Elephas maximus indicus: one gene and its partners. The protein of the gene in region 3 binds, or shares a complex with, the protein of the main gene of each other region. Links are inferred from orthologs where the notes say so. Each region holds a gene or a part of one and is shown on either strand. Other genes may lie near its edges. The genes, in order: RAMP2, ADM2 and CALCRL.

Region 1 (3,745 bases), on a different chromosome or scaffold from region 3:
CTAAGTGGACCACATTCTCACTCTTTCTGGATGCCTTACTAAAGCATCCTCTTGACCTCAGCTATGGAGGAAGACAACAGGTTTTCAGCAGCCACATTTCAAGAGCCTGAGACCCTGAGACGAAGATTTTAAGACAGAGAGATGAAGAAAGATAATTTGTGGTGAGGAGGAATCAGCAAACTGCGACAACAGCAGCAGCTGAGTCCAAGGGTGAGTGTCTGGAAGTAATTTAGTAAAGTTGGGTGCTGACAGCTGTGTCTGGGAATTGAACACCATGGCCATCCCAGCTCCTGGGCTCCTCTGATGCTCCAGGCTAATGAAGCCCCGGCCCAGGACACAAAGGCAGCTGTGGTGTAGCAGAAGTCAGGCCCACTGGGGCCCCAAGCCCCAAGCTCAACTTTGCTGCTTACTAGTAGTGTGACTTTAGGCAAATCACTTAGAAAAGGAAATTAGCATCTGTTGAGTGAGTGCAATACCCTTTCACATATTTCATCCTCATCAAAGTTTGGTGGGGAGGGTAATGTCCCTGTTTTACATTAAAGGAAACTGAGGATCCAAAGATAAATGAATCATCAAGGTAATAGAGCTGGGGAGTGGGTAGGTAGGTAGGATTAGGACCCAGAGCTTCTGACCTCAAGTTCTGTGCTCCTTCCCTGAGTTTCAGTTTCTCATAAATGAGGTCTAAACCCCTCCCCCCTTTCTTTCTCACAACCTTGGTCTTGCAGAGTTGCGACCACCTTTTTGCTGGAAATGTAGGACTCTTACTTTTGCCCCTCCCACCCCCCCAACCCAGTTTGTGATCTAGGTCCCAGGAGATGCCCTGAGGGGAGGGTATTTGGACTTCGGTTTCCCCTCTCCCCCTATTCCCAGGCCTTCTCACTATTCGGGAGGGCCGGCTCCCTCTTCTACCCAGCGTTAGCAGGCGGGCTGACATCAGTGGGTGTTCCCAGGGCAAAGCCACTCTTGAGCTCCAGGCGCCCCTTCCCCCACGGCCCATGCGACGTCGAGAGGCCCTCCGAGCTCCCAGCCCCCTTTCCTCTTCTTCAGGTCCTGGAGGGCAGCTTGCGCCCCCCTACCTCCTCGCCCCAAAAGAAAGAGGGCGATTAGAGTCAGGGGAGCGGATGCTGGGAAACCCTGGCGAGCCCAAGTCTCCAAGCGGAAGAGTCCAGGAAAAGGGTCCGCGTTCTGAAGTTACGCGTGGAGCTGTCCAGCCCTGCGGCGTAACTAGAAGAAAGGGGGGCGACGCCGGCAAGGCGGAGGGAGCTCGGGCGCCAGGGGCGGGGTGCCGCAACGACTCCCCCTCCAGCCCGCGGCCCCGGGCCTCGCCACCGCCCCCCACGTGGCCGCGGCCGTCCCAGCCCCTCCGAGGAAGCGGCGCGGCTTCCTGCGGCTCGGGCCGGGGATATAGGCGCCCCCGCCCGGGCCGGTCCAGCGCCGCTGCCGCTCCTCGCCTTCTCGTCGCGCCATGGTCTCGCTTCGAACGGAGAGCTCCGCCGGCCGCCCGCGGCTCCCAGCGACCCGCGCCGGGCGGCCGGCCGCGCTCCGCCTCCTCCTCCTGCTGGGCGGTGAGCGCGCGCCCCGGGCCCAGGCGGGAGGCCCCGGAGAGTGGGGGGCTGGACGGCCGAGTCCGGAAGGGGCCCCGGGGGCGGGGACAGACAGACAGACCGGCAAGCGCTGTCCTTCGAACAGTCCGTGGGCCCACCTCCGCGCGGGCACAGCGCGGGATGCTTCCCACTTGGAGAAAGCTGGGGTTCCGGGGCCCCCGCGGAGAAGTCTCAAGGGAGGTTTGGGGTTGGCAAGGAGGGAGTGGGCTTTGGCAGCCTGGATGTGAGTGGGAAGGAGCTGGTACCGGCCTCTTCTCTCCTGGGCACCGAGGCATTCATTAGGAGCCCGGATTAGCCTTCTTTGTCTTCTGAGAGTAGCCCTGAGTTCCCAGGGGCTCAGTCTCTAACCCCTCCCCTCCAGGCTCCACTGCCCAGATCCCCGCCATCCCACCTCCCTCTCCCATTTCTGCCCACAGCTGTCTTGAAGCCCCAGGAGTCCCTGGCACAGCCTGTAACCACCCCAGGCAGCTTGGGGTCAGAAGGTGGGTGCCCAGATGCTGTGGGAGGGTGGCCTAGAGCAAGGAGGAGAATCAGAAGGATCTCTTTCCTGCAAGGCAGGCCCCAACCCCAATTGGTGCCCCACTAAACTCCCTTCTGTTCTCTTGGAGTTTCCTGTGGTCTTTCTCCCTCTCATCGCACAAAGCCCCTGCCGAGCTCTGAGCTGGCCCACCTCACAGGTGGGTGAGAAGACCCCATGAAAATGTGTATGGGGAAGCTCTTGTCAGGTGGGAAGTGCTGCACATGTGGAAGGCATTAAATGATTCCTGAGCCTAAACTGCCTCCTCAGCCAGAAGTGTCTTGCTTGGGAAACTTTCCAAGGCTGTCCTGAGCAGAGTTGGGGGGGGGAGGGGGTAAGGGTGTGGTAAATATGCAGCATCTGTGTCCACAGGGAAGATGGTGCAGAAGTATGAGACATATGTCCAAAACTGCTGGCTAGAGTATAAGAAGCTTATGGACCCTCTCGAAAAGGATTGGTGTGACTGGGCCATGATTAGAAGGTAGGGGCAGTGCTGGAGGGTGTCTTGGCCCAGGGTGGGCCTGCTCCCTGGTCTGGTTCTTCAGATGGGCCTGGGGTGAGTGTGGGGCACACCTCTCTGTGGGTCCAATCCTTCCTCACTGGAGTTCTCTCTCATCCCAGTCCTTATAGCTTACTTCGTTACTGCTTGGAGCACTATGCCGAGGAGTCTGGCCTGGGCTTCCCCAACCCCTGGGCAGAGAGGGCCATCTTTAAGACTCACCAGATGCACTTTGCCAACTGCTCCCTGCTTAAGCCCACCTTCTGCGACCCCCCAGAGGATGTGCTCCTGGCCATGATCATAGCACCCATCTGCCTCATCCCCTTCCTTGTCACCCTTGTGGTGTGGCAGAGTAAAGACAATGAGGCCCAGGCCTAGGGTCCACAAGCTTCTCAGTGGCTATATTACTCCTCTCCCCTGCCCCCACAGCCCCACCTCAGACCTTAATGCCTTTCCCCCTTTCTTCCCCTCTCTACCCCCTTCTCTCACTCTCACCCCAACCGCAGGTCCTGGAATTGGTGAAAATGGAAGCTGGGTGGGGTCAAGGCACAAACTCTGTAATGCGGTCTTCAAAATAAACCTTTTTTGTGTGTGCACTGTCCCCTTCCCCATCCCAGTGTAGCCTGCATCCTTCCCAGAGTCCCTGCCTCTCCCACAGGCCCTCAGCTTTTGTCAACAGAACTGGAAGAATCTGGATGATCCCACTGCTTTTTTTCACCTGCTCCCCCCACTGGCCCCTCCCACCTGAAGGCCACACCCCTACACTCCTTCCTCCCAGGGTTGGGCCCTTCCTGCCCCTATCCAAACCCAGCTCCAGGAAACGTGCAGGAAGAGACTCCCTTCCGGTCTGGACAGCAGCTGGGGGGCCTGCGATTGGGAAGGTATGGGGGGAGGGCAGAATCTCTGCTCTGACTCCTGCAAGAAGGAAGGGGGGCTACCCAGGAGCTCTGACTTCTCCCCTTCTTCATGCCTCGGTTTACTCCTGAGGCCTGTAAGTAGGAATCCTGACCTGACCAACAGGAGTCCATCCATAAACACTTTAGAATTGAGGGCAGAGGCTTCTTCTCCTAGGTTCATCACAGACTCCTCTTCTAGATCCCGGCCCTCATCCTACATTGTCCTGAA
Region 2 (3,745 bases), on a different chromosome or scaffold from region 3:
TAAATTTGATCACCTCACCCTCCCCACCCCCCACCACGAACCTAAAGAAACAGAAACACAAGATCTGCCCAGGGTTCTCCACCATTAGGGGAGGTGAACAAGCTCTTCAGTAGGGCACGTGTGCAGCCCTTGTTGATTCATTCACCCGGCAAATGTTTATTGATGCGCACCACAGGGGGGACTTGGCAGGAAACGCAGGAGGGGACCAGGGTGACCAGGTCTTCCATGAGCCTAATAGAGGGCCTTGAGGGCAAGGGTAAGACTGAAGAGGGGGTGCAGAGGAGGCAAAGAGAAGCTGAGCTAACCGAAGGGGTGTCTATTGAAGGGCAGCAAGGTCGCCACTACCTCTCAGGTTGACAAAGCAAAGAACAAGCGATGCCCATGCACTCTTGGTGGAGGGTTAGACGGTGCAGGCTTACAGAAGACACAGACTCAGCCTGCCACCCAGTGTGTCCACCTCCAGGAAGAGGACGGGCCACGTTTGTGCGCTAAGATAGCAGTCAGGGCAGACCGGACAGCAGGGGTCCAGCTCCAGAAAAGACGGGTTAGGATTCGTTAAGTGAGTCACAGCACAAGTACGTTGGAGCGGACCAGCCTACAGGAACAATGGGGGTCTCTGTATTTACACGTATTTTGTATATATGTGCCCGTGTGCAATGCACACACGAAGTCCTCTCCAAAACCAGAAGACCAGAAAGCTCTGCCCCCCCCCCCCCCCGCCCCGGCACACAGAAGAATCCACAGCGGGGGCGATGGGTGGCCATCCTCACTTTTTACTTAGTTGAATTTCTTATAAAAAAAATTTCATCCGTTGGTAATGGGGGCAAATGGGTAGATTTTTAGAACACAGCCCCTAGATGATTCTGAGGAGGGGTCCGGAAGTTGCCTCCGTAGGGAATGGAATGGCGAGCTCGGCGCCCAATTCGGGCCCCCCCCATCTCCGGAGCTCAGCCGGGCTCTGGGGGGGAGGGGGTGGGGCAAGGCTCCGGGCAGGGCTCCTGGGGAAGGAGGTGCCGCCAGGCGACACCGGAGGAGCCGGACCGTCAGCTTTTAGCCCTGAACTCCATCCCCGGAGGCGCGGGGCTGAGGAGGGGCGCCCCGCCCAGTGGACGGCCGGCTCCACCTCCTCCTGGAAAGACGATTTTTCTCTAGACGGTACCGAGGGCCGGCGGCGTCCCAGGAGAGATCCCGAACTGCGAACTGGCCGAGTGACTCCTGACCTGCAGTCCTCCGCGCCCCGGACGCACCGACCGAGTCCGGCCTTGTTCGGCGGCAGGACCCGGGGACTGCAGGACCCCAGGATCCAGCCTGCCCCGCCACCACCCGGCGCCCCGACAGCGGAGGGCTCCCCAAGTGCGGCGGAGGAGGTGGCGCGACGCCAGGGCCGGCGCCCCACGACGCCGCCCCACCCGCCCAGCTCGCCTGCTTCCCGCCTGCCATGGCGCGGCTCCTGGCAGTTACCCTAGGCTGCGTCAGCCTCCTGTACCTGCAGCTCCCTGGCGCGCTGTCCCTCGGCCTAGGGGGGCGCCCGCGCTCCGCCCGACTCAGGTGAGTGCGGCTGGGACCAACTCCAGCCCTGGCCCTGTCGTAGCAGGAAGCCAGGATGTCTGGCGAACCCCCCATCAAGGGCCAGGCCCCATGCCATCACCAACACCTGAGCCACAGGCATCTTTTGCTCCCCACCACAGGGCACTTGCCCCGACCTCCTCAACAAGGAGGGATCTGCTGGGGGAGTGCAGGAGGGAGCCCCAGGCCTGCCTAGCTCCCACCACTCCAAGGGATGGGTCCAGGAGAGTCACCCCAGGCTCTGAGTGTAGTGACCCACAGAGGCACTTTGCCTGAGGAGTCACAGGTTAATGGGGCATGTGACCTGGGGCCACTGAGATGGTTGAGCAGCCAGGTCCCAGGCCCTGAGCCCTAAAAGAGATAGTGGGCTTCCCCTGGCAGTGTCCCAGGCTGGGTGTGGGTGGGGGCTCTGGGATTCCCCTGGAGGTGGTCCAGGCATATTGGGGAAGCCATGGGCTTCCCCTGCTAGTGATCCCAGGCCTGCATGGAGGGGAAGTGGGTGGGTTTGGAATCCCTAAATGGCTGGACCATCCGGTTTGCTCCTCCCCCACCCCGCAGGGTTCCTCCCGCCCGGACTTATACCAGCAGCCTGCATCCCCGGCGCCCTGCACCCCAGCCTGTGGTCTGGAAGCCTCACCAGGCCCCTCAGCCACAGAAGGGCACTAGCCTGGCCCCTGCTGTGAGCCAACCTCTTCAGAACTACGGCCGAAGACACTCGGGCTCCCGTCACCCAGGCCCCCGCAGACCCCGAGCCCAGCTCCTGCGGGTGGGCTGTATGCTGGGGACCTGCCAGGTGCAGAACCTCAGCCACCGCCTGTGGCAGATTGTGGAGCAGGCCGGTCAGCGGGACTTGGCCCCTGTCGACCCCAGGAGCCCCCACAGCTACGGCTGAGGTGGGCCAGCCACAGCCCCCCTGCCCTGCCTAATACTGCGTCCAGAGCTGCAGACAACGGACACCCAGAAAGGGGTGCAGGCACCAGAGGAGCCTGTCCCCACACCCCAACCTCCCTCACACTTGAATGTGGTTCTGGACCTGTAAACCCATGTGTATGTGGACACCAGGCAGGCCTCACCCAGGGGACCTGCACACCCCCACATGTGCACGCCAAGGGGCAGGCGGTGCTCCCCTCCCTGTACCCGCGCAAAACAGGACTTGGGGGGAGGGGCCTTGGCAGATGGAGCAGAAGCCAGGGTCCCGAACACCCAGGGCCAGAGGAGAGGGGCTGGGTGGACTAGATGCGTCCCCTCCTTGATGGGTTCCAGCGTTGGATCGAAGCCCTTCTTGACAAGTCCTCCCAGAGGTCTCAGCTTGCTCCTTTCCCACCTCATCCCCCAGGCAGGGCTGAAGGGCAGAGGATTGGACAGCCTGGGGCATGCTGTGGTCCAGGTCGGGATGGGGGGAAGGGGCCACACAGGAGCTCTGGAACTACCCTGGCCATTCTGGGGTGAAGAGTGGAGCAGAGCCAGGGGATCCAATGCCAGCCCAGGGCTGGGCTGGGGTGAGGGGCCCCCAAAATAGATAAATAAAAGTCCCTTTCCACCTCAAAGGGGTAGAGGTGGCTGAGCAAGTATAGAACTGAGCAGGTGACACAGACCCTGGCCCTGGAGACTCAGTGGGACAGCAAGGAACATCAGGTCTTGAACAGGCTCCCTCCCCTGAGCCCTGCCAAGCCTGGGGAGACCTCAAATGATAGCAATAAGAACAATGACCGCAGCCAGCACGTGTGCAGTTCTTGGTGTGTGTCTGCCCCATGTCGTCAGAGTCCTGCGGATACCCCACACTACCCCAGAGAACCTGGGCTTCACTCACATAGCACCTCGTCCGCATAGCCCCCCGTGAGGTGGGCACTACTCTCACCCCCACTTTAGAGAGGTCAGAGACTCACCCTCTGTCTCTGTGGTCCCTGTCACTGACTAGAATTGCAGCAGAAGGTGGTCAGGGCCGTAATGGGGAGCATGGCAAGGCAATCAAGGAGGGCTGTCCAGAAGAAGAGTGGTTTAGGTGGGACTAGAGGAACAGCAGGGGTTCACCAGGGGAAAAACCCTAGAGCTCCGAGGCTCAAGCCTACAGAGCATGTGGCTGGGGTAGCCTGGCAGCCAAAAGGAGCCCAGTTGAGTAGGAGTTGGAGAGGCCCGGGACCTGGCCTCAAAGCCATGTGCCCTGTGACCACTGAAGGGT
Region 3 (3,745 bases):
GTGTAATAATTTTCTTCCATGGATCCAGGCAATAAACACGAAAAGCAGCAGGAGCATGAACTTTAGAAACAAGCTATCCCTTCAGTGTATGCTCCTTTGTTAGTCTACAAGAGGTATTGGCACCTCTTTTTTCCTCCTAAAAAAAAAAAAAAAAACACTATTTCTCAGTGTTTGTGATCTCAGATTCACTAAGAACTGAATGATCATCACCAAGTCTTATTTATTTCCAAATTTATAAAACTGATTAATTCATAGTCTTAGTGACATTAGGGAGTTTATATATTATTTGATCTAGTGCTTCTATTTTACAGCTGAGAAAATTCAAGTCTGGGGAAATTAAGTGACCTTTGGTGCTGTGTAGGCTTCAGGAATCATAATGTAATTATCATTCCATCTTACACATTTACCATATCACCAAAAATGATAAATGTATTTCATATTTACAATGTTCTTCCCTGGTCCTTTTCAATGATTTATTAAAAACATTCAGGATGTGTTTTTGACATAAAGATGATCTTTTTGAGGTAAATTTTTTCAAAAAAATTAAAGTATGTTCCATATTTTACATTTTATATATATATGTAAATCTACATTTTCTTCAAGCCTACTTTGAGGTACAAATCTTATAAATTATTTTATCTTATAAGTGGTAACAAATATAAGTCAAATATTAAAAATACATGTAATTATTTAAAATTATTCACATACTCTTAAAAGGTTCTATATACACTTAAACATACAGTCTGAAAAAATATTATTGCACACACAAACACACGCAGGCTTTGTTTAAGACACATGCATAGACATATGCTTATAAACAACACAGAAGAACAAACAAAAGAAAACTACAGGGAAAGGTTTCTTGGTCTAATTGTGGAAAACTGACTGGAAGCAGCATCTGATTATCAGCAGTTCTAACTTAACAAGAATTGGATCACAGAATTAATTGTGATGAATGCTATTATTATTTTTCCATGGTCATTTATGAAGAAACACATTAGATGATTTTTTTTCCCCCTGGATGCTTTGTAAACTATAATCCAAAACACACACACACAGGTACACAGACACACACTCCTAACTCTTTTGATTTGTTGAGCAGAGTATTACATTCTGACTTCCTTCAAATCATAGCAAGCTCTGGTTGGCAAATTCTAACAGAACTCAGTCAAGGTGAAAGCCAGCCAGCCTTTGCTGGCAACAATGTATTCATGCAGCATATGATGTCTTTCTGTTCAGGCTGCTTCTTGCTCTTGTCTCAGAATAAGAGAGGAGCGCTGCTTTCCTAGGGTGTGCTATTTGAGAAAGAAAGTAACCTAACACTAACTGCAGGCGGGGTCGGAGTGATGTAACAGGAAGCTCTGATGTTTCCCTTCTACTGCTGATCTCTTACAATCTGACAACAGTTCCAATCTACTGAGAACAAACCCTCTCTCCCCAGCACAGTGTCACCTCCTGCTTTAGGATCACCAAGCTCTGCTAACTGGATCTCACTCTGCCTGCAGGATCACATTGCAAGGCTTTTACTCTTCCCCACCTTGTCTGGGGGGGAATCTCTTCCACGGAATCTCAGAAAATCAAATTCCATCCTAAGAAAATTTCACCAAGAATTCCTTTAGGAGCTGTGCTGGGTAAGTGCATTATTCAATTTGGGTATATTTATTTCAGGGAGCATTCTCATGTAGATTAACAATGTTTCTGCTATTCAATTTACTTAGTAACATTGCATTAGTGACATAGTGTTGAAACGTATTCTCATTTATTTCACATGTCAGGGGACTGTACAGTGTATTAGCTCAAAATGCACATTAAATCTATTAGTACTAAAAAAAAAGTTACTACTAGATACCGTTATTCACAATGGTAGTCTAGAAAATAGATTTCAGAAGTAATAAAAATCGAAATGGATTAAAGCGCATACTTCTGAGCAAATATCTTAATCAGGGAACAATGTTTTTTTTGTTTTTTGGTTTTTTTTTTAGCCTTATTATTAAAGTTTATTAAAGCTAAGCTTTAATCTTAACACCTGGGAAGCCTTGTAGTAGGTCCGCCCGACACCAGGGAAGGCTCTTTAAACTTTCCACAGAATCGCTATTCTAAAAAAGGGATGAAAGAATATCTACTTTTTGAGTCTCAGAGTCTCACTCTGTGGTTGAACACAATAGTTAGAAGGAAAGTAATAGCTTTGGATTCATTATTTTTGCCTTCTATTTGTCTTTCACCTCTATATACACATACATCTCTATTGAACTAATGGAATTTTCATTATTCATTGTTGCCAGATGAGTTTAAAACTCTCTTTTGATAACCCTGAACTGTTTTCACTATGTTGAATGATGGAGTGAACTTCAAAGAAAAACTTACAGCTAGGGTTGAGAAAACGTAGAGATTGTTATATTAATTCTTAATTTCAAAACTTTAGCTAATAGCATATGTTAGTTTAACTTGTCTAGAATCCCTCTGCCAGCTTTCGGGGGAGGGTGTGATAGATATCTGTGGCCAGAGAAACATAACAGGGGTTCCTGAAGAAGTATATCGGATCATTAAGCTGGAAACTAAAGTATGTATTTAAAAAAGAGGAAGAATTTCCAGGATATAACTTACTGAAATGTTGAGATGAAACATCTGCTAACGATCCTTCCAACAGTACAGACTGTCCTAGACAATTTAAGAAAGTTGTGTCTATTTAATAAACTGTGGATATAAAGATCACAGATTTCTTGCTAAGGAAATTCAATGTCAGATTTGGATTCAAATTATGTTGATTGACACAATGTCTAAATAATATATTTTCTTACCTAAGTGAAATTATATGAACTGTGCAGGACTTCCTTCAATGGGAGCATCCTGTACTTAGTCACCCATAATCTGGCATATTAATAGTTGTCTGGTTACTCATCCTGAATAACTCCTTGGTAATTCTCTACTGGGGATTCAATATAATGGAAACTTAAAATAATACTTAGATTTGTGACTCTTTAAAAATATTGTATTCGATATCCTATCCCCTTGCAAGCTTTAATTATACTGAGTTCCCTGACACATTTGTGGAAATAGGAAAAGGACTATAAAATGTGACTTTGTAAATAGCCATTAGATAATTGGGAGAGGAAATGGAAAGAACATATTTAGACACTTAACCCAATGTCATGGAATAGAATAAAAATAATTTTATTTTTAATTTAGATTCATTTTGTTAGAAAGATATATCAAGTTAATATATTTTTATAATGAAGAACCCCCCAGATTTATCAAATTTTTATTTAATTGCTAGCCAAAAACCCCATAATTTTCTTGCATAATTTAATTAGCTATTCATAACTATACCAATAGTATGGCTTATAATCTTGATTTTCAACTAATACTGTTGAAAAATACTAGGCAATGAACTCTGAGGGTGATTAGGCAAAAGTCCATTATTTGAGTAAATCACTAGAAGTTTAAATTAAAATTTTATATTATTATATTCTAAAATTAGGTTCATTTAATAATAGAATGTCAGAGTGCCTATGAATGCTTTCAGTCATTAAGAAATAAATTTACTTTCTAGATGATATTTCCATGTAGCATCATAAAACAAATGCATTGAGTCAGCGGCCAGTTCTAAATATGAAAACCAAAACATAGAATTGAAAAATTACACAAATAAGGTGAGCTGAAATATGTTTTACCTGACAAGTTCAATTGTGTAAAAGAAATATTGTTACAAGCTCTCCTTTTTTTCCTATTGTATCTTAGCACATAC

The links.
Region 1: the proteins of CALCRL (region 3) and RAMP2 are in contact, whole or in part, in a crystal structure (PDB 3AQF), measured with the Homo sapiens proteins. The link is inferred for Elephas maximus indicus from reciprocal best matches to the Homo sapiens genes CALCRL and RAMP2. Residues at the interface, in NP_001258680.1 of Homo sapiens: Arg38, Asn39, Ile41, Met42, Thr43, Gln45, Tyr46, Glu47, Tyr49, Gln50, Lys51, Ile52, Met53, Gln54, Trp69, Asp70, Gly71, Arg119; in NP_005845.2 of Homo sapiens: Trp86, Ile89, Tyr93, Ser94, Arg97, Leu109, Gly110, Pro112, Glu117, Ile120, Phe121, His124, Gln125, Phe128, Ala129, Cys131, Ser132, Leu133, Val134.
Region 2: the proteins of CALCRL (region 3) and ADM2 are in contact, whole or in part, in a cryo-EM structure (PDB 6UVA), measured with the Homo sapiens proteins. The link is inferred for Elephas maximus indicus from reciprocal best matches to the Homo sapiens genes CALCRL and ADM2. Residues at the interface, in NP_001258680.1 of Homo sapiens: Val36, Thr37, Lys40, Asp70, Gly71, Trp72, Asp90, Tyr91, Phe92, Gln93, Asp94, Phe95, Asp96, Pro97, Ser98, His114, Ala116, Ser117, Thr120, Trp121, Thr122, Tyr124, Thr125, Asn128, Thr131, Lys134, Val135, Ala138, Leu139, Leu141; in NP_001240774.1 of Homo sapiens: Leu106, Arg107, Val108, Gly109, Cys110, Val111, Leu112, Gly113, Thr114, Cys115, Gln116, Val117, Gln118, Asn119, Leu120, Ser121, His122, Arg123, Leu124, Trp125, Gln126, Leu127, Met128, Gly129, Pro130, Ala131, Gly132, Arg133, Gln134, Asp135.

What each region holds. Positions count from the first base shown.
Region 1 is NC_064837.1:49,607,974-49,611,718, forward strand, and holds RAMP2 (receptor activity-modifying protein 2), read left to right. Parts: upstream 1-1,368; 5' UTR 1,369-1,465; coding exon 1,466-1,565; intron 1,566-2,020; coding exon 2,021-2,086; intron 2,087-2,212; coding exon 2,213-2,281; intron 2,282-2,493; coding exon 2,494-2,602; intron 2,603-2,742; coding exon 2,743-2,998; 3' UTR 2,999-3,249; downstream 3,250-3,745. UniProt on the Homo sapiens protein: Accessory protein that interacts with and modulates the function of G-protein coupled receptors including calcitonin gene-related peptide type 1 receptor (CALCRL) and calcitonin receptor (CALCR). Required for the transport of CALCRL to the plasma membrane.
Region 2 is NC_064822.1:196,826,280-196,830,024, forward strand, and holds the start of ADM2 (protein ADM2), read left to right. Parts: upstream 1-980; 5' UTR 981-1,438; coding exon 1,439-1,548; intron 1,549-2,124; coding exon 2,125-2,458; 3' UTR 2,459-3,745. UniProt on the Homo sapiens protein: Intermedin/ADM2 is a peptide hormone that plays a role as physiological regulator of gastrointestinal and cardiovascular bioactivities mediated by the CALCRL-RAMPs receptor complexes.
Region 3 is NC_064824.1:85,684,752-85,688,496, reverse strand, and holds the start of CALCRL (calcitonin gene-related peptide type 1 receptor), read left to right. Parts: upstream 1-1,233; 5' UTR 1,234-1,631; intron 1,632-3,745. UniProt on the Homo sapiens protein: G protein-coupled receptor which specificity is determined by its interaction with receptor-activity-modifying proteins (RAMPs). Together with RAMP1, form the receptor complex for calcitonin-gene-related peptides CALCA/CGRP1 and CALCB/CGRP2.